Yarrowia lipolytica: one gene and its partners. The protein of the gene in region 1 interacts with the protein of each later gene in a pairwise test. Links are inferred from orthologs where the notes say so. Each region holds a gene or a part of one and is shown in the gene's direction. Other genes may lie near its edges.

What was found.
Region 2: the proteins of YALI1_F37998g (region 1) and YALI1_E33268g interact in binary tests that used the Saccharomyces cerevisiae proteins (3 or more experiments, as listed by UniProt). The link is inferred for Yarrowia lipolytica from reciprocal best matches to the Saccharomyces cerevisiae genes LSM7 and PRP4.
Region 3: the proteins of YALI1_F37998g (region 1) and YALI1_F27929g interact in binary tests that used the Saccharomyces cerevisiae proteins (3 or more experiments, as listed by UniProt). The link is inferred for Yarrowia lipolytica from reciprocal best matches to the Saccharomyces cerevisiae genes LSM7 and DHH1.
Region 4: the proteins of YALI1_F37998g (region 1) and YALI1_E23348g interact in binary tests that used the Saccharomyces cerevisiae proteins (3 or more experiments, as listed by UniProt). The link is inferred for Yarrowia lipolytica from reciprocal best matches to the Saccharomyces cerevisiae genes LSM7 and PAT1.

What each region holds. Positions count from the first base shown.
Region 1 is NC_090775.1:3,797,922-3,802,119, reverse strand, and holds YALI1_F37998g (uncharacterized protein), read left to right. Parts: upstream 1-2,233; coding exon 2,234-2,260; intron 2,261-2,313; coding exon 2,314-2,784; downstream 2,785-4,198. Other genes in the region: YALI1_F38013g (uncharacterized protein), read left to right, coding at 791-1,558; YALI1_F37986g (uncharacterized protein), read left to right, coding at 3,431-4,198. UniProt on the Saccharomyces cerevisiae protein: Component of LSm protein complexes, which are involved in RNA processing and may function in a chaperone-like manner. Component of the cytoplasmic LSM1-LSM7 complex which is involved in mRNA degradation by activating the decapping step.
Region 2 is NC_090774.1:3,324,016-3,328,688, reverse strand, and holds YALI1_E33268g (uncharacterized protein), read left to right. Parts: upstream 1-1,899; coding exon 1,900-3,258; downstream 3,259-4,673. Other genes in the region: YALI1_E33285g (uncharacterized protein), read right to left, coding at 1-165; YALI1_E33278g (uncharacterized protein), read right to left, coding at 646-673, 720-892; YALI1_E33234g (uncharacterized protein), read right to left, coding at 3,407-4,673. UniProt on the Saccharomyces cerevisiae protein: Involved in RNA splicing. Is required for the association of U4/U6 snRNP with U5 snRNP in an early step of spliceosome assembly.
Region 3 is NC_090775.1:2,790,035-2,795,059, reverse strand, and holds YALI1_F27929g (uncharacterized protein), read left to right. Parts: upstream 1-2,129; coding exon 2,130-3,698; downstream 3,699-5,025. Other genes in the region: YALI1_F27945g (uncharacterized protein), read right to left, coding at 1-527; YALI1_F27904g (uncharacterized protein), read left to right, coding at 4,624-5,025. UniProt on the Saccharomyces cerevisiae protein: ATP-dependent RNA helicase involved in mRNA turnover, and more specifically in mRNA decapping by activating the decapping enzyme DCP1.
Region 4 is NC_090774.1:2,332,566-2,338,437, forward strand, and holds YALI1_E23348g (uncharacterized protein), read left to right. Parts: upstream 1-2,265; coding exon 2,266-4,821; downstream 4,822-5,872. Other genes in the region: YALI1_E23325g (uncharacterized protein), read left to right, coding at 1-713. UniProt on the Saccharomyces cerevisiae protein: Activator of decapping that functions as a general and active mechanism of translational repression and required for P-body formation. First decay factor recruited to mRNA, at a time when the mRNA is still associated with translation factors.

The sequences.
Region 1 (4,198 bases):
ATGCTACTACTAGTTTTCGCTATATTTTGTAGTAGAACTTCCGTGCAGTCTTTCGTTAGTCTGAACGTACAGCTCGTTACACCTTTCGACAAGCAAAGTAGTACCGTAGCTTAAGAGTGGTCGGAACAGACAAACATGGCGTCTTGATGTTGAGACAGAAATCGCCTACACGCTATAACTATTATACAGACATACTTACGTTGCTCTCCTATTATAATTGTGGCGTATATGTAAAAAATGACAGAAATGTCTCTAAGAGAGCAGCCAGGCACATTGGAAGGTCCCTACGATCCATCTCAGGCCACTCAGCTCCCTGAATCTTCATAGTTCTCTGTAAGTATCCACCAAAAAGTCAAAGTGACATTGCAGGGGTGTGTTGAAGTTGGTATTTGGATACCTAACCATGGGACTGAGAAGCTCAAGGTATAGCTTTAGCACTGACCGCCCTAACCACGTCAACCAACGCGGTGATCAACAACGTTGGCTACTTGTAGTGTGCGATTCTTATGAAACACCCATTCTTCGTATGTACAATGTAGGTACCTGGAAGCAAAGCTCAACAATGCAACACATCTGTCTTGGGTGAGCATCCAAGTCCGCCGAGTCGGATAGACACCTTCCAAAACCGGCTTTACACTGCCTACCGAGGTAAGTAGACTCAAACCATAGACCTGTAGTCACCTAAACGAGCTCTTTGTTGCCTATGGGTCTGACGCACAAATTCCGTGTCTCTGCAGTAGCGGGACTCTAACTCAGCCATACCTTGTCATACAAGGTGCTGTGGGATACAATGGCATTGAATGGATACCCTGTTTCCAGGACTCTATATAAACCACCGAAATCCTCCTCTCGAATATCCAGAAAACAACTACCCTTTCTTCTCTTCTCTCTTCTATTCACTCCAATCAACACATTACCAATGGTCTCTTTCACCAAGCTCGCCGTTGCCTCCATGGCTACTCTTGCCCTCGCTGCCCCCGCTCCTGAGGAGGCTGGCCTCATCCAGATGCGACAGGTTGTCGAGGCTCACTTCGGCGGAAACAGCGAGATCGCCAAGCGATTCGTTGACGATGCTGTTGCCCTCGACGCCCGAGCTGCTCAGGACTGGATTTCTCTCTTCAACGTCTTCCAGAGCTTCACCAACGCTGGTGTATCTCTCTTCCTGAACTCCATCCAGGCTCTCAAGAACGTTTCCCCCCAGCAGGCCAACGCTGCTATCACCCAGGCCATCCTCCAGGCTAAGGGAGCTCTCAACCAGCTCATCCAGTGGCTGCAGAACTACAATGGACTTGCTGGCTGGACCAAGGTTCTCGTCAACATGTTCATCTCCACTGGCCTGAATGCCTTCATTACCAACCTTGGTCTCTTCCTGATCACTCTTTCTACTGTCATCTCTCAGAACAAGTTGGTCAACACCTTTGCCGATGACATCAAGGGCCTCATCGCTACTATCAACCAGGCCGGTAACCTGCTCGCAGACATTATCCCCGGTTTCCGACAGGATGCTTCTATGCTTGTTGGTCTTAACTCTCGACTCCAGGGTCTTCTCACCAACTAAACAATTATGCCAACCATATTGTTCAGGATGTCTTCATTTCTCAAATAACTTTAATTATAGTATTTTTTCCGTTAACAGATTTTGTTTGTGAAATTGCCTGAAACACTAAGCTCATGTAAACAAAACTAATCAATAAATGGAATACGGATGTCACATTTTGTTCGGTCTTTGTTTCTTGAACAGAAATCAATCCACTTGGTCGCCTAATGTTTGACTAATAATGGGTACAATAGCTTAATATTGTAGAACAAGCGGGAATAAAGTTGCGCCCCTGGGGTATGTACTCATAACCTAAGTCTCAGATTGAAAACGAAAAAATGGACTCCAAGATGAACGAAAAAGAAGACCCATATCATGGAGAGACAGAATATCTTTCAACTCGGAATGAGGGCTGATATTAGGAGTATTCTGGCGGGTCACCAACGGGGTTGTTGGTGTGAAGTTGAGAATTTTAGAGGGTAATCTTTCGAAAGTCATAACATCTATATAAGATATCTATGTTGATGTATTAAGGGGACGAGTAGCTTCCAAATGAGACCAGACTCGTATATATTCAGCTTACCAACTGTCGTATTATCAACACTTCACCTTCCACACCCCCAAATTAAACTTCCTGGGACTAGCTCTCTCTCATAACCTAACGCACAGGTTGACAACTCTTCATCATCATCAATAATGGACCGACACGACAACCGTGGAGGAGTGAGTATAGCGGATCGAAGGCTCAGCCATCCATTCACACGTACTAACAACAGCGACGAGGCGGCCGAGGCGGCCATGGCAACGCTGGCCATTATGGAGGACACAACCAGCACCAAAATCAGCAACACCAACAGAATCAGCAGCAGCAGAACAACCAGAACCAGGGCCAGGGCCAAGGTCAGAACCAGGGCCAGTCCAAGAAGCTGGAATTCCCCAAGCGAGAGCCCATTCTAGATCTGTCTCGATTCGAGAACAAGCGAGTGGTTGTCAAGGTCACTGGCCGAAAGATCGAGGGCACCTTAAAGGGCTGGGATCAGCTCATGAACTTGATTCTCGACGACGTCAAGGAGACCATTTACGAGGACGAGGAGAGCGAGGACTTTGCCGAGTTTGAGGGTCAAAAGGAAGGCAAGGTGCGAGAGATCGGTCTGGCGGTCATTCGAGGCCCTAACCTGCTTTCTATCTACCCTCTTGACGGAGGAGAGGGAGTTGAGGTGGAGCCCAAGCCCGAGGTCACTATTTAATTGGATAGTAATAGAGTGTATATTATGTTGTGGTGGAAGTGAGATGCTGCTGTCGTTTTTCTTAGCAATTGTAATGGGGCGCCATCAGAGGTGTACAGTATGTACTGGGATAAGTTAATGATATGTTCGGCTCGGAGCAGGTATTGAACAGTGTAATGACCCGACATACTCTTCGTACATGTACTGAATTTCTAGTTATAATCTATAAACTGCAATGGTTTCAAGTAGCTACGTGCTGTAGTGTACTGTATGTGATAGGGCTGACTACGCCATGCTCTGGGTTCACTCACACGACCCAACGCCACCCCTACTTGTAGTCTTACTACTTGTAGTCAGTAGAAACGGGGGCGTGTTTACCATTAGAATGTACAATAATGGTGCTTATCGAATGGATAAAGGGTTAATATATCGATTTCGATTAGTAATGTATCGAGCTATTGTATGCACATATTCACGCCCTCCACACACCACACACTTCCACATATTAGACTTGCCTGTCCCATGCGTGTTGGGATAATTGGCTTCACAGAACAGCGACACTCACTGATAAACAACCAGTCACACTTCTCCAGCCACCCAGCGACGGCCATACTCGAAAAGTCACTGACACACTCATGTCAAGGAATTGAACATTTCAGCAACCATAATGCAACTAGAACCTGCTCATCTTGTGTACGCCGCATTTTGGACATTTGGGTTGGTCAACAACGTGCTCTATGTGGTTATCTTGACCGCCGCAGTAGACCTGGTGGGACCTCAAACACCCAAGGCCGTGGTGTTACTGGCCGACGTACTCCCATCGTTCTTGATAAAGCTGGCAGCACCATTTTTTATCCACAAAATCCCCTATAACCGCCGAATAACATTGCTGGTTGGCCTGTCAACTGTGGGAATGATGTCTGTGTCACTAGCATCTCCTCTGTTTCTCAAACTCGTGGGAGTGGTGCTGGCTTCTTTCTCTTCCGGTCTGGGCGAGGTCACCTTTCTCCAATTAACCCATTTTTACGATACCAGGGCTCTCAATGGGTGGAGCAGCGGAACTGGAGGTGCAGGGCTAGTGGGTAGCGGGCTGTTCATGCTCTTGACCACGGTACTCGGAGTTTCAGTCAAGACGTCATTGCTTGTCTTTGCATTCTTTCCCCTGGCCTTCTTAGGAGTCTACTTCTATCTCCTTCCTCCTAGAGATTATAACCGTGTACCAGGGGCCTTCCCTGTGCACAGCAATGACCCTGAAACAGGTATTGAAACACAGCCAATCACCTGGGAGTTTGTTGCTTCTGGATACGAAACTACAATGGTCCGTTTGAAGCCGCTGGTTATGCCTTACATGCTGCCTTTGTTTCTGGTCTACTTTTCCGAGTACACCATCAACCAGGGAGTGGCACCCACACTTCTGTTTCCCATGGAAGAGTTG
Region 2 (4,673 bases), on another chromosome or scaffold:
TTGCAGGTCTGTGAGCTCCTTACCTCCGTGGTAGACAGCTCCACTTACACGACCCTTTTCCCAGAAGGTTCGCTTCATATCGTGGTACTTAGACATCTCAGTGATGACCTCTGTGTTGGTCATACCTTCAGCAGGGAGAGTCCCAAAGATTTGGGTGCCGGGCATTCGGACGATAATGTCGTTCTGGATCTTCTCAATCACAACCCCTGTCTCCTTGTCAATCTTAGCCTTGATGAAGGGAATGTCGAGAATCTTTTTGGTCACTTTTCTGGCATGGAAACGGAATGTGTTTTGAAGTCCATCAGCAAAGATGGTGTGAATAAAAGAAAGGAAGTTGCCAAGGGCTGTGAGAATGACGCTGAGTTAGTATATACATGGCTGGGTTGCTCTAGCTCATCGTTTCCAGATCAAATCACATGAACAGCGAGTAGCTGTTAATTGTATGTCGTAGCTAACATATGATGACTGATATCATGTCCGTGTGCTCCCGGTCGGACGGTCGGATGTACGGCCAAGAGAAGCCTCTGTGAATAATTGCTCCAAGATCTCATGGGTAAAACGTCGTGAGTGTCATGGCGTCAATGGTATCTCTGTAAGATCGCCTTTTACTTGTGTCGTTTTGATTCTCAATGGGACCGTGTATACTCACACAATAAATACCGCATCTCGAAATCTGGGTTAGTAGTACTCAAACAGTCTCATCCTTCGCTTATTCTCACTTTTCATAGGTAGTGGCATTCTGGAAATGCTCAATTACCTCAGCCCTCACGCAGTCGTGCTTCGAATGAAGGTAAGCGACCGGAGAAGCCTGGAACTCGTGGTAGTGCTGATGCAACAGGGCATGGAGCTCGTGGACGCATTTCTGCAGACACTCCAAGTGGGGGATCGCCATTGTTGTGTTTCTGTGGTGTTGGTGTTGGTGTGCAACAAGAGAAGAAATTGTGGGGGTTATAGACAGGTGCACTTGTGTGTCGGATGCTTACTGCCTGTGGTCTGTAGTGAATGTAGCCACTTTAGCTTTCGAAGCTGCATCTAGATATCAGGAGGTGAGATATTAACTCCGGGGAATGCATGGATGCGGTTGTCAGCGGGGTTTATTAAACACACCATTGATGGGCGCCAACGGTTGGGGCTTGGAAGAGATTCTTTCTTAACAGAATTTCCTATATATTGAATGCCTTCCGGCAACTCAAACATCCTTCCTCCCCCTTCTTTGCACTTTATAACTCCTCCACACTGAAATAGCCTCAACACATTCCGTTTAAACTTGCTTAGGCGATCTACTGCGTCTTATTATTATTGGCATCTGAGAGCTAATAGCGAGCGATGATTGAGGTATTAGGAGAGGCCAAACTAAACACAAGTTACGTGAGGCTCTGAAGCTATTTCTATGCCCGCATTATTCGTTTCAGTAGCTCTTTTTCTATCACTTTATCATTCTATAGTTGTATCCTGTTCCCACATTCTCCGCACTTTCGCTTTTAGAGCTAAACTCCGAACGAGTTTTTTATCATTCATGTGAAGGGAAGGTAGGCGGAGGTCAGTATATCGAAGCAGCATGTGGAGTCGCCTGCGTGTTGTTGTTTTTTCCAAAGTCGATTTTTCTGTAAATATCGCCACCATCTTCATCAGCTATTATCTAAACAGAGCTACAAGTAGTGAATAATATCCACAGTTATGGGGATCGAACAGGCAGGAGCTGCAAGAAACTCATAACCTGTGGTTAATAAGTGGCCGATATTTCTTGCTCTCTAGCTGCAAATCTGAACAACCCTGACCTTACAATAGTTTATTCGGGCCTTTCACTCATTGCATAATCCTGCTTTAGCACTCCATATCGCTTTAGTAATCAAATGTATCAATTCTGCACCTCCCAACCTAATTGTCTTCATCACCAACATGGAACTTGTGGATCTGGAGTCGATCAAGACGACGGTGGACTCTTCTTCAGTTCGGGAAGAGGCCGTTGCGGCCCGTCAGCTGTTGGAAAAACAACGTCGAGCTGATATTCTCAAAAAACTGCATGTTCCTACAGACGATAAGGATGTTAGAGCGAAACTACGATCGTTGAATGAGCCCATTACTCTTTTCGCAGAAGACAAAGCTGATCGACGGACCCGTCTGGGTCAGCTAATGGTGGACGAGTTTGATCGGGAAGGTCTGCAGGACGAAGAGAGCGATTCTGACGTTTCTATGGACGACGACGAGTTTTTTACGCCAGGAAGTGAAGAGTTGCTTGATGCAAGGAGGCAGATAACAAACGACAGTATCTTGAGAGCAAGGGACCGACTCACGACACAAAAGCAACAGTCGGAATTGTCCCTGGTGGAGACAGTTAACCTACGACGAGATAAGATGGCCCCTATAGAGCAGTATCAGCTTCTGGGATCACAGTTCGTTTCCACACGTCCAGCAGGGGCCGTGGCTTTTGGAAGCGACTCTATACTGGCTGCATCATCGTGGAACGGCGAGATCAAGCTAATGGATGTACCGAATCTGAATACCAAGGCTGTGTTGAGAGGGCACGTGGATAAAGTAAGTGCTTTGAAATGGGCACGTAATATCTTGCTGAGTGGATGTGGAGAGGGAAAGCTGCTGTTCTGGGATTCCAGCACAGAAGGCAACGAACATACTGCATACAGAACGGTGTCTGAAGCCCACAAGGGCCGTATCGCAGGTCTAGACGTTCATCCAAGCGGGCAGTGGGCTGCTACCGCGTCCTATGACTACACCTGGGCTCTGTGGGACATTGAGAGCGGTACCAAGCTGTTGTCTCAAGAAGGACACTCTAAGGGTGTCCACTCTGTGGCCTTCCACCCGGATGGAGCTCTAGTAGCCTCTGCTGGCTTGGATGCAGTAGGCAGAGTGTGGGATATGCGATCTGGACGAAGTATTCAGACTCTGGAAGGCCATATCCGAGAGATATACAGTCTGGGATGGTCTGGTAACGGGTTCTATCTTGCATCTGGATCTGCTGACGGATCTGTCAGAATATGGGATCTGCGTGCTCAAAAATGTTCCCACACAATCCCTGCACATACAAAGATTGTGTCGAGTGTTCAGTTTGACAAGTCGGGCTCATTTCTCGCATCTACGGGATACGATGGCGACTTTAACATCTGGAATGCCGATTCGTGGACCCTGGCTAAAAGGTGGAAGACGCAAGACCGAATCATGGGCATGGATTTGGGACCTGGAAACGAGTACTTCGCCACCTGTGGCTGGGATCGAACAGTGAAGTTGTGGTGCAAGGAGTAGGCGTTGAAGGGGTAGGAACACATACCGTATCGGTAATATATTGCATTCAAACTACAAGTACTTGTAAGTAAAAATAGAACCACTCAATCCGTCAGTAATTAATTAAACCTCCTATAATACATAATATATTTCATCATTCGTCATCCGTCTACTCTGACTGCGTATTAGGTCCATCGGCAGGAGAAAGAGCTCGTCTAGGAACCGAGCTCGATCTCACACCGTACCTCGCACGTGATGTCTTGGGAGCTGCCTCGCTCTGTCTCTTGAGCTGCTCCTCCAAGTTCTCCACCTTAACCTTGAGCTCTGCAATCTCCGAATCCCGAATTTCTCGCTCTTCGTCGAATGTGAGCTTTCTGAGGGCAGAAAACTCACCATCGGCACGCTGGTTGGCCTCAGCCAGCTCGGTTGTAAGCAATCCCACCTTCGCCAACGCCTCGGACGCGCTCTCGGATGCCTTTTGGTATTCGGAACGCATGTAGTCATTCTCATTGGACCGAGCATCAGCAGTAGCATTGGCCTTTTGCAGGCTCGTCTTCAGCGCCTGAATCTCCTCCTGCTGTTTGGTTTTGATGTCTGCGTCCTCTCCAGAAGCCAAAATAGCCTTCAGAGAAGCAACCTCATCCTGCAATCGAACAACTGCCTCCTCTTTTCGAACCGCATCTGATTCTCCTCGTTCGATCTTTCGCTCCAGCTTGCCAATAGTCTCCTCGAAGGACGCGTGTTGACGCACCTGACGCGCAATCTCGTCCTGTTGAGACTCCATTTTGAGCTGCTGCGTAGTTGCGAGCTTCCTGTGCGACTCGATTTCCGACACTAGTTGCCGTTCTCGGCCAACAAGCGAGTTGTATTGCTCCAGAAGCCCCTGTGTCAAACCTGTCCATCGACCATGTGCATAATCGTGTGGAGGAGCAAAGTGGTCTGCGCTGATAGGGTCCAGCTTGTACCGCTTAGAAGGCTGAGAAGAATTGTCCGTAGGGTCATTGGCGGTTCCAGGAATGGCCGATCGACGATGATACGACGAGGCCATTGAGGTCTCCACGTCCAATTTGGAGTACCCGGAAATGGGTGCTAGATCGGGAAGTGGCCAAGGAAGAGACAAATCGGCAAACCAGTAGGCCAATGGCTGAAGCTGCTGCAGGTACAACGACTTCATCTCAGCGGGGATTGTTCCAGATTTGTCTCTCAGCACCACTAGAGCTGCAATCACCTCTTCCGTAAACACTCTATCGGGGTTAGCAGTGAGTCCAAAGCTGTATGCGACATGCTCAGCAGAGAGGTTTGATACCAGACGCAACACGGGAGCGGGAATGTTCCTCTTGTGCATCCGTAGAGCCTCCACATGCACCTCTGCTGGGTTGAACGTGCTGTCGAAGGCAATCACCAGATCAAAACGATGATCGCCATTGTAACTACTC
Region 3 (5,025 bases), about 1.0 Mb from region 1:
TCTTCGGTCAGCGGGCCGGCCTTCTTGTAGATGCGGTCCAGTGAGCCGCAGTCCATAAACTCCATGCACATGACCACGTCGCCGGACGACTCGTTGATGAAGGCGCCGTAGAAGGAGACAATGTAGGGCGAGTCGCACTCGTGCATAATGTGCAGCTCCCGCAAAATCTGGCGTCGCACGGCCTCCTTTGCCTCGATATGGATCACCTTCTTGGCCATGACGGCACCAGTGGGGATGTGTTCCACCCGGGAGACGGACCCGCCGTTGCCTGCGCCCAGCTCCTGTATGGTGCGCAGATCCTGAGCCCGGATGTCGATTTTGAACTCCACGCCCAGCTCCAGCGATGCCATTTGGCTTATCAGGTTGCCTGCTGAGGGCGCTCTCTGGAGCGTGGGTTTGTCGAGGGTGAAGGGCTGTGATGGCGGAGGGGAAGCTGTTGCCTGGGGCGCCACTCCGGCGTCGGCGTTGAGTGACAGCTTCTTGAAGTTTTTGCGCTTCAGCGTCTTGGGTTTGAGGTCGACAGACATGTTCACACGATGGACAATGTACCGTTTTTATCGGTCTATTGTCTGGCAGGTTGAAGGTTGTGGTTTTACCGTACGTTGGGAGAGACGCTACGCGTTGGCGATGCGCTTGGTGCAGACCTTGGCCGAATGGGGAAGTGGTTGTGGATGGATGGGGTGTGGGTGCAAAAGGCTACAAGTAGGGGGGTTGGGGCATGTGGCTTGATATATATATATCGGAGTTAATTATTTTGTGCAAGTTGCCAGGTGGCCGGGACAAATGGGGCAACGACGATCTCTGAACACAAGAGTCCACACACATCTGTATCGTTCCGGCACCAGTAGCTACTCTGCCATCGCTCAGCTCATGCCACTACGATACTTATACTTGGAGCTAACCTTGATTGAAAATGGGAGGGCAATTTCCGAGGTAATACCACCCACGTACAGTATGTACTCTTGACGCCGTGACCTTGGCCCACATTCGAGCTGCACTGCACTGCCTGAACCGGACGAGAGAGTCCAAATGGGCCGTCGTTATGGTTGGGTATGAGACTTGGAACACTGGAAGCAGTGTTTCGATGTGTTTGGTGGGAGGTATCAGCGTTCTGTTGTCGATGTGGATCAGTGATACTAAAGTAATCACACTTGTACTTTTAGCTTAGATGGGTGACAAAATGGTGATTTCTAGCGCGTACAAGTATCGCGATGTACTTCTCTCTGCTAGCTGATGAAGAGACAGCATCTGTGACCACTGTACCGACAGTATCTGCGACTACAAGTATCTGTTCAGCACACATGCTCGTACCGTACAAGTACACCTTTCTATACCTTCGATGAGGTTCGCGTGGATAATTTAATGGAAGTATATCTGTTTTGCTGAAGGGGGAAATGGGCTGCGTGTGTGGGAGCAATATTACATACATCTGACTGTTCAGACGTTGGACGAGACAGTCATAATATGTGCCCCATTACAGGTTGAGGTGAAGCGCGTGTATGGGGGAAAACCAGCGGATGATCGTCCCATCTTCGTCATTTCACTCGTTTACACTACAAGTGATATCTTCACTCATTCTCTGCTCTGCTCCTCTCCAAGCCACCGTCGTGCCCAGACAAAGTTCGTCAACCGGGTAAGTGGCGAGCTGTAATAGGTGTGCAGGTGAGGATAGAGACAGAAAAGGGTTACGACAGCAAAAAAACAGAGGGAGCCAGCAAAATGACAAACGTGGAAAAGAGAGATAACAAAAAAAGGACCTCTTTATATAACTACGTAGCAAACCAACACCACATTCTCCATGTCAAGGTGGCCTGGAGTCCTCCTCCCCACGGTCACGGACACTCCAACTTACCCTTCCCAATGAATCCACACCCCAGTAAAGTTTTCAATACACCCACAACCAGCCGACAATCTCTTCTTTCTCCCCTACCTCCAATACAGCCAACTGTTTTATTGCCATCCATCACAGAACACCAGAACACAAACATATCTGGAGTTTTCTAATCGACAATTGACACCTACACTGTTCCATCGCAGGTCCCTACTTCTGAGTTTCCGGATATCCATACTTCCCGTTTGCCCACGACACGCACCACGACACCGCACCACCCCACATTTTACACAAAAACATGTCTGAGTGGAAAGAGTCGTTAAACGTGCCCAAAAAGGACACGCGTCACAAAACCGAAGATGTGACCGCCACAAAGGGTACAGGGTTCGAGGACTTTTTCCTCAAACGAGAGCTGCTCATGGGCATCTTTGAAGCAGGATTCGAAAACCCCTCGCCCATTCAGGAAGAGGCGATCCCCATTGCCCTCGCAGGCCGAGATATTCTGGCCCGAGCCAAGAACGGAACCGGCAAGACCGCCGCGTTTGTGATCCCAGCCCTCCAGCAGGTCAACCCCAAAGTTAACAAGATCCAGGCGCTTATCATGGTGCCCACCCGAGAGCTGGCACTCCAGACCTCACAGGTTTGCAAGACCCTAGGCAAGCATCTTGGCATCAAGGTCATGGTCACCACCGGTGGCACCAACCTCAGAGACGACATTATGCGTCTGGAAGACACGGTACACGTGTTGGTCGGCACTCCCGGCCGAGTGCTGGATCTAGCAGGAAAGGGCGTCGCTGATCTCAGCGAGTCGCCCATGTTTATTATGGACGAGGCCGACAAGTTGCTGTCGCCGGACTTCACACCCATCATCGAGCAGGTGCTCCATTTCTTCCCTGAGGACCGTCAGATCCTGCTCTTCTCCGCCACCTTCCCTCTGACTGTCAAGGCCTTTATGGACCGAAACCTGCACAAGCCTTACGAAATCAACCTGATGGACGAGCTGACCCTAAGAGGTATCACGCAGTACTACGCCTTTGTCGACGAGAAACAGAAGCTGCATTGTCTCAACACGCTCTTTTCTAAGCTCGACATCAACCAGTCCATCATTTTCTGCAACTCCACTGTGCGAGTTGAGCTACTTGCCCGAAAGATCACTGAGCTGGGATACTCATGTTACTACTCCCACGCCAAGATGATCCAGAGCCATCGAAACCGAGTCTTCCATGAGTTCCGAAACGGCACGTGCCGAAACCTCGTCTGTTCCGATTTGCTTACCCGAGGTATCGATATCCAGGCCGTCAACGTGGTCATCAACTTTGACTTCCCTAAGAACGCCGAGACCTATCTCCATCGAATTGGTCGATCTGGACGATTTGGCCATCTCGGTATTGCCATCAACCTCATTAACTGGAACGACCGATACAACCTGTACAAGATTGAGCAGGAACTTGGAACTGAGATCAAGCCCATCCCTGCCCAGATCGACAAGAACCTCTACGTTGCCGAGTCCAGCGAGAACATCCCCCGACCCTTCCCCATTGCTGATATGCCTCGAGGCAAGGAGAGTAAGCGAAACGAGCAATTCCAGCCCCAGCAGAACCAGAACCAGCAGCAGCAACAGGACGGTCAAAACCAGCACTCTCTGGGTCCCGTACCTCCCCAGGGTCCTCCTCAGGGCATTCCCGGCCCCGGATACGGCTACCCTCCTCCTCAGGGCTTCCCTCAGGGAATGCCTCCTCAGGGAATGCCTCCTCAGGGAGCCGGCGGCTACATGCCCCCTACTCCCTATGGTTACCAGCAGCAGGGCTTCCCTCCTCAGCCGCCACAGGGCTTCAACAATGGCCAGCCCCAGCAGCCGTCGCAGTAAGAACGCGAGCCTGAAAAAAGCGATTACAATCTTCCTTTGGTTTTTTGTGTACGGTTTTTGTGGGTTATCTTTCCCACTTTCCGCCATATTTTTCCAACCCTTTTTTTTTGACCTTTTTTTCGTCTCTGGGGTATATAGCAATATGATATTCTAGTTGGTGACTGATGAAACGTTGTACTGTAGCTACAAGTGTGGTTCAGTCGAATGCCGTGGGTACCCGAACATGTATAAGTAAGATCATGGCTCTGGTACGGCTACTGTAAAAGTCTATCTCCAGAAATGCATGAAATGTATCCTGGGCCACTGCGAGAAGCATGGGACCCGAGTAGACCGTGTGCGCGAGATCTATTGCAGGTGCAGCCAATACGTGAGTCACGGTCGCTCTGTAGAGTGTAGATTGGTTTTGTATCTTTGGTGTAAGCCGCTTACCAGGATGCTACAAGTAGGGTAGTCTTGTGTCAGATCAAAATGTGTGGCTGCTCTGTGCCAAAAATTTGACTACTAAGCTTTTGGGATTGGGTATGACTTATTGGCCATCATTCGTGAGTGAAGCATTTTTACTGTCTGGGGACACTGCAGAGCTATGCAGAATTAGTAGTGGAGAATGCCTACTGGTGCTGTTGCGGGCATTAGGGGGGATGAGGTACGATGTAGGGATAGGTCCGGGCAGGGACTTGCATTAATTGGTCTACAATGTAGGGCGTCGAATCTGGGTAAAAACACACCGAGTATGTGTACGTACATGCCCATGGCCATTGGTGCCTATGGACCCGAGTTACTGACAACGGGTGTCTGTTGCAAAGTGTGAAGCTTAAAAAATATTTTTAATTCGAAAATGGTATCGACGTGCTAAAAGCTCTTTCTACTAACGTCCAGTGTTCACCACCCCACCCACAACACCCCCCCACATCACCCACACACAATCATGAGCCTTCGAATTCTGCTGGTTGGCAACGGTGGCCGAGAGCACGCCCTTGCATGGAAGCTGGCTCAGTCTCCTCTGGTGGAGCGAATCTTTGTTGCCCCCGGAAACGGAGGAACCGACAACCCCCAGGGAAAGATCGAGAACATTGCGATTGGCTCTTCCCAGAAGGACTTCGCCAAGCTCGTCGAGTTTGCCCAGTCCAAGGATGTTGGTCTCGTCATTCCCGGTCCCGAACAGCCTCTGGTCGAGGGAATTGAGACCCACTTCCGAAAGGTTGGTATCCCCGTCTTTGGCCCTTCTGAGAAGGCTGCCGTCATGGAGGGCTCCAAGACTTTCTCCAAGGACTTCATGAAGAAGCACAACATCCCCACCGCCGCGTTTGAGAACTTCACTGACTACAAC
Region 4 (5,872 bases), on another chromosome or scaffold:
CCTCCACTGCATCTGCCTGGGGCAAGAAGGCCGGCCCCGTTGAGATTCCCGTGGCTTCTCATCTGCAGTTTTCTGCCGTCGCCCAGATCGGCTCCAACTCGGACGTGGAGGCGTCTGACGCCGGATTTTTCGTCGCCAACACCTTCATCAACGGCGAAGACGTGCCCATCAACCTGGTGTTCGAGAACAAGGAGAAGGACCCCATCTCTGTGGTGGCCGTGGGAGGCACCTTCTACGACCTCAAGACCGACAAGGTGGTGGTCAGCGTCCAGGGCACCCAGGTGGGACCCATCAAGGTCGACAGCGGCAAGACCGCGGCCCTGACCCACCAGTTCGAGACCAACCTCGATGCCAAGGTCTACCGAAACGTCATCCAGGTCTACATCCAGTACGGCAACGAGGTGTACCAGGTGCACGCCTTTGACGGCCCCGTGTCGATTGTCGACCCCTATGTTTCTCCTCTGTCTTTCAAGTTCCTGTTTGCCCAGATTGTGCTGGGAATCACCGCCGCTGCTCTGGGATACTACGTTGTTAACGTGTACGCCATCCCATACGCTACCGGCACCTACGGACAGGAGAAGAAGCCCGTTCGAGCCAAGCCTGTGGTTCCTGCTGGCTCCGGCGTCAAGACTGGACCCAAGGGCTACGATGAGAGCTGGATTCCCAAGCACCATCTCGACCAGGAGAAGGTCAAGGTGAAGAAGAGAAGTTAAGCTGAGCCATGACCAAGGTTTGCGTGACAGATTTTTTCTTTTCCAAGCACACCTGTTGGTGGCGGACGTTAATGGATTGTGACACTCGTGTTGTCTGCTGACATTGATAACTCCTGCTGTCAATAGGTGTGTCCTGGTTACTTACTTGTTGATGACACTAAATAGCTAATTTATGTTGTACGTATTGCAACAGTGAAGAGTTGCGCGGCGACTCCACCGAGCGTTTTCGGGGTTTCCGAGCAGAAAAATGGATCTATCGATACTATCCCGTATCTCCGACAACGTCTGGTTGTATATGAGACATTGTTAGTTGAATAAGATGTGGTCGTCATCTAGGAGCCTAATAATACAATATATCTGCCGTTTTGGTCGTTGGAAGGCGGGAGTATGTCGAGGGACTGGTAGCTGGTGTTGAGGAGATTGTTTTGGTCAACTGTTTGCTTGATTTGGTCAAGTTTTGGTGTTGTGGTTGGTTGGTGGTGGAGATAGAACCAGTCATGAGGTTGTTGGAGGCTTTAGATGGCGCAAGTGTCTGGAAGGAGGAGTTGATAGTATTGATTTTGTATTGGCTGATTAATTCCATTGACGGATGCTATAACAATGAGTAATCAAGTCCTGAGAGTCTCTTCTTAGTCATGGCATTGTTGTGTGGAGGGACAGATGGAGCTGCAACAGATATATTACTCAACATGTTGAAGATGTTGCCAAAGGTGCTCAGATGTCGCCAAAAGGTGCTTCAGATGTCGCCCAAAGGTGCTTCAGATGTCGAATGTTCCTCCTGTCCACATCTCTGACAATCTGCGATGTCTTATTCACCAGTTGTAACAGATGCGACATGAGAAAGTTCCTCTCTAGCACTCTCTAGGCTAGTTATTCCATATTGAACATCTTCCGACATGTTTTTGTCGATTCTGTCGATTCTGTCGGTTACTTCTTCTGGACTCACTCTAGAAGCTAAGTAAATGTCAACTCCATCTGTCCACATATTAACCAAAAAACGTCTTTCTGTACCCCATACTGTCAATATTATTACACATTTGTTAAAAAATGAGCCATTTCCTATCATTTAATCCACTTTCAGCGTTGCTCAGGTTCCTGTAACCCCGAAATAGCACCCCCAGCACACGTTTTTTCTCAATTGTTCTTTCAACTAAATCAAACTTGCATTATGTAATACAAAAAACACCACTCACTCATGGACTCGTCCGGGTAAGTCGTCTCCCAAATTTGCCAGAGCCACTCAAAGTTTGAGAGTTTATTTTGTATGACAGATCCGCCATGGAAATCTAGCCAGTCAGTATAAACAGGTAACCGAAGGATTTTTTGCGCCGTTAAAGAAATTTATTGGGTATTTTTGCCACTCTCTCGAACCTCCAATTTCTCCTCTCTCGCTATCTCTTCTCAATCGCCCAACAAAGGCACCCTTCTTTCCACATCCTCCTACCCCCCCTCCTACCCTAACCCAAAATCGCACCGTAGTAGTGTCCTCTTGTCACCTCTACACATCTCAGTACACTACACCGACACCAAGACTCTCGACTCTCTCTTCGACATGTCTTTCTTCGGTATCGCACAGCCCAATCAGGGCAACGTGCAGGAGTACGAATTCGACGACACGTACGACGACAATCTTGGCGGACAGCTGGATGAGTCTGGCGACGCCTTCAACGACGAGACGTTTGGCGGCGAGGCGTCTGTGGGCCGGGATTTCGACTTCCACGGCGAAACGGCCAAAATCTCGTACGCCATTGACGAGGACCAGGTTGCCTACGAACGCCGGGCGCCTCAGCACGCCCAGATGCAGCACCAGCAGCAGCAGCATCAGCAGCGACAAGCTCCCCCTTCTCTGCAGCCCATGGCGTCTCTGTGGGGCGCTCCCGACCAGAAGGAGCGAATCATGGGCGACGAGGCCCAGCACGGCGGCCAGCAGGCCCAGCAGGCTCACCTGCAGCAGCAGCAGCACTACCAGCATGTTGCTGCCCAGCAGGGCGGTCAGCAGCCTCTGTCTCTGGAGCAGATTGAGGCGCAGCTGATGGGTCGACAGGCCCAGGCCCAGGGCCAGCAGCAGCAGCAGCAGCAACACGGTGTGCCTCCCCAGGGTCACGCTCCTCCTCAGGGCCACTTTCCTCCCGGGTACGGCTACCAGGGCTTCCCTCCTGGTTACCCTCCTCCCCAGGGACACCCCATGCAGTACCAGCAGCCCTGGCAGTTCCCTCCCCTGCCCAACCATGATCTCAACATGCAGATGATGATGCACTACCAGCAGCAGCAGCAGCAGCAGCAGGGACAGGGACAGTTCCAGCAGCCTCAGTTCCAGGGACAATCTCAGGGTCAGCCCCAGGTTCAGGTTCAGCAGCAGCAGCAGCAGCAGCAGCAGCCCCAGGCTCAGACTCAGGGTCAGCCCCCCGCTGTCGCTTCTCAGCCTGCTTCTCAGCAGCAAGCTGCCCCTCCTACCGCGCCCCTGGGCCCCAAGGAGGACAAGGCCATCCCTACCGCTCCTCAGGGCTTCCAGGGCCCTCCCCACTCGGGTCCCTACGGCTACCAGCCCGGCCCCGTGCACGTATCGCCCAACCACACGATCCCTCCCATGGATGAGAACGCGCGACTGGCCAAGCGAAATGAGATGATCAGCAAGCGAAAGCCACACAACAATCTCATGACCGGCGGTGACAAGGACTTTGTGCTGCGAGTCCAGCTCCAGCAGATGGTCACCGAGGACCCTTACAACGAGGACTTTTACTACCAGGTGCACTCGGCCATCAACGTGCGATCCAACCCCAACCAGCCGCTCGACGCCTTTGCGCGAACGTACCTGTACCAGCGGGGTCAGCGGGGCCGACGGGCCCGCGGCAACGAGAACGGCCTGCAACGTCTGCAGCAGCAGGTCCACAAGGCCGTGCAGTTTGTCAAGGACCACCCCAAGAAGGACTCCATTATCTCCCAGGGTGCTCTCGGTAAGATTCACCTTGGCAGCAACAAGGGTCCTCGACAGGCTCTCGACCTGCGAAAACGAGATGATACTCCCGACGCCGACAACTCTACTGAGGCTCCTACTGAGGGAGTTTCTGCCACCCCCGAACTTCGATCTGCTACCCCCGTGGCCACCACCACCACCACCACCGATGCCATTCGATCCATCACCACGTCAATCTCCAAGTTCAACCTTCAGGGCGGCTCGTACGTGTCTGCTAACGACAAGCGAGGTATTCTGCGGGCCATTGAGAACGTGTACATTGTGCTGCTACGTCTGGAGGCTGCAGAGAGAACCCAGCCCGAAGACGACCTGTCCGACGAGTTCCAGGTGTGGAAGGGAGAAAAAGACGCGCTGGTGACCCAGCTGTGGCGTGAGCTGCAGATTACTGCGCCCATCGACCAGGCCGACGGCTCGCTGCACCCCTTCATTGCCATGCTCTCGCATGCCAAGTGCAAGAAGGCCATTCCCCGAGTTTTCCGGCATATTTCTGCCGAGCAGCGGCTCACCATTCTGACCATGATCATGGCCCACATTGGCGATTTGGACGTGGTCAAGAATGGCCACTACAGCGGCGAGGAGTCGAACCTGCCCGCCAAGTCGCGGGAGGCCATTGAGGTCTTCTCTCAGACCGTCCTTCCTCCTCTGGTGCAGTACATTTCTGAGGCCGAGTACGGCGTCATTGTGGGTCTGCTGGAGTTGATGATGGATCGAAATGACACTGCTGCTGTTGTCAAGACCAAGGTTGGATCTGCATTTGTGACTGTTTTGATTTCCCGGGCCGAGCTGATCAACCAGGAGGGCTCTGTTTCTGCCGAAGATGAGGAGACCTGGAACCGCATTTTCAACCGTGTTTTCGGCATTGTTCAGCGCAACAATCTCAACTCCCTGTTCCCTCCTCGAAATGTGGACGATTCTTACGTGTGGCAGTTCCTGGCGTCCATCGCCTTGGCTGCGAAGATTGATCACCAACGTGTTATGGTTGACGATGTGCGGGACAAGATCTTTGGTACTATGAACGAGGCCAAGGCTCTTCCGCCAGATCTGTCGCAGCAGAAGATTAACAATCTGAACCTGTTCCTTAACGTCATGGGTCTCAATGCGACCACTTCGGAGATTGGTGAGTTGCAGGGGTGATTAGATGAGGGAGCAGTGGTTATGTAAAATAGGATTTTTGAGAAAAAGATGATTTGACCGTTTGACCGTGGTGAGCGTGTTAGATAGATAGGAGACGAGACTGCGTAGGGGCTCAGTGGAAAAGTTCATGATAGACATTGTGGAAGTGGTAGTACAACTAGACGGCGGCACGAAGGTACCGGACTGGCGTGGGAACTGGTTGGGAACCGGGGTCCCGAACTCAAGACTCTTCCAGTCTAGATTCAGAGTCGTCAACCAGGCTTCGAAGATATCCATTAGGGAGCATTTTGAAGAGTGCTGACATGGTATTGGCCTTTGATCTAGCGAAACATCTTTGGGCAAGGTCCATGAAGAGCACTGATGGTTACGCTCCAGGTCGACGGATGATGGCTACGGGACCCAGGATGCTCTGGTATGAGCACGAGGAAAAGGGAGCAGCAACTTCTGAGGTGTTTTGTCAACTTCTTGAGGTTTGTCAACTTTGAGAGTGTTTGTCAACTTCTGAGGTGTTTGGTCAACTTCTGAGCTCTGGAATCAGCAGCTTCATCCGTCATCTTCTCCAAGTCGCACGGTGGATAACTTCGGGAAGATCACTTGCAGTTGTTCTGAGGACAAATATCGATTGCTGTTGGATTGTGGATTATTCTTGTCAACTATTCAGCCATTGCTCGATCTACTTGGATCTACGTGGCTCCTCTACAGTCCATACAGTAGTGTAATCTCTGCCGAGGGGTTCTCATCATACTGTAGTCGGCTACATGATGTTGGAGTAGATACAGTCAGTACAATACAATAAAGGGCCAGCGACTGAAGTGACTGGATTGGTTGTTGCTACAAGTCCAATTTGAGAAACTACTGCCTTTATTCACGTGGTTCGTGGATCCGGTGATCCCGGTTGTATTCGTCCTTGTAGCTTGACAGACATATCTTTACAACTGGCTCTCGCAGCCCCACATTGCCGCCAGTTTTGGACGATTCAAGTTGATATACCGATTATAATGGCCGTTTGAAACTTGATGGTCTCTTCCGATTTCGAATCGGGTGTGTGTTT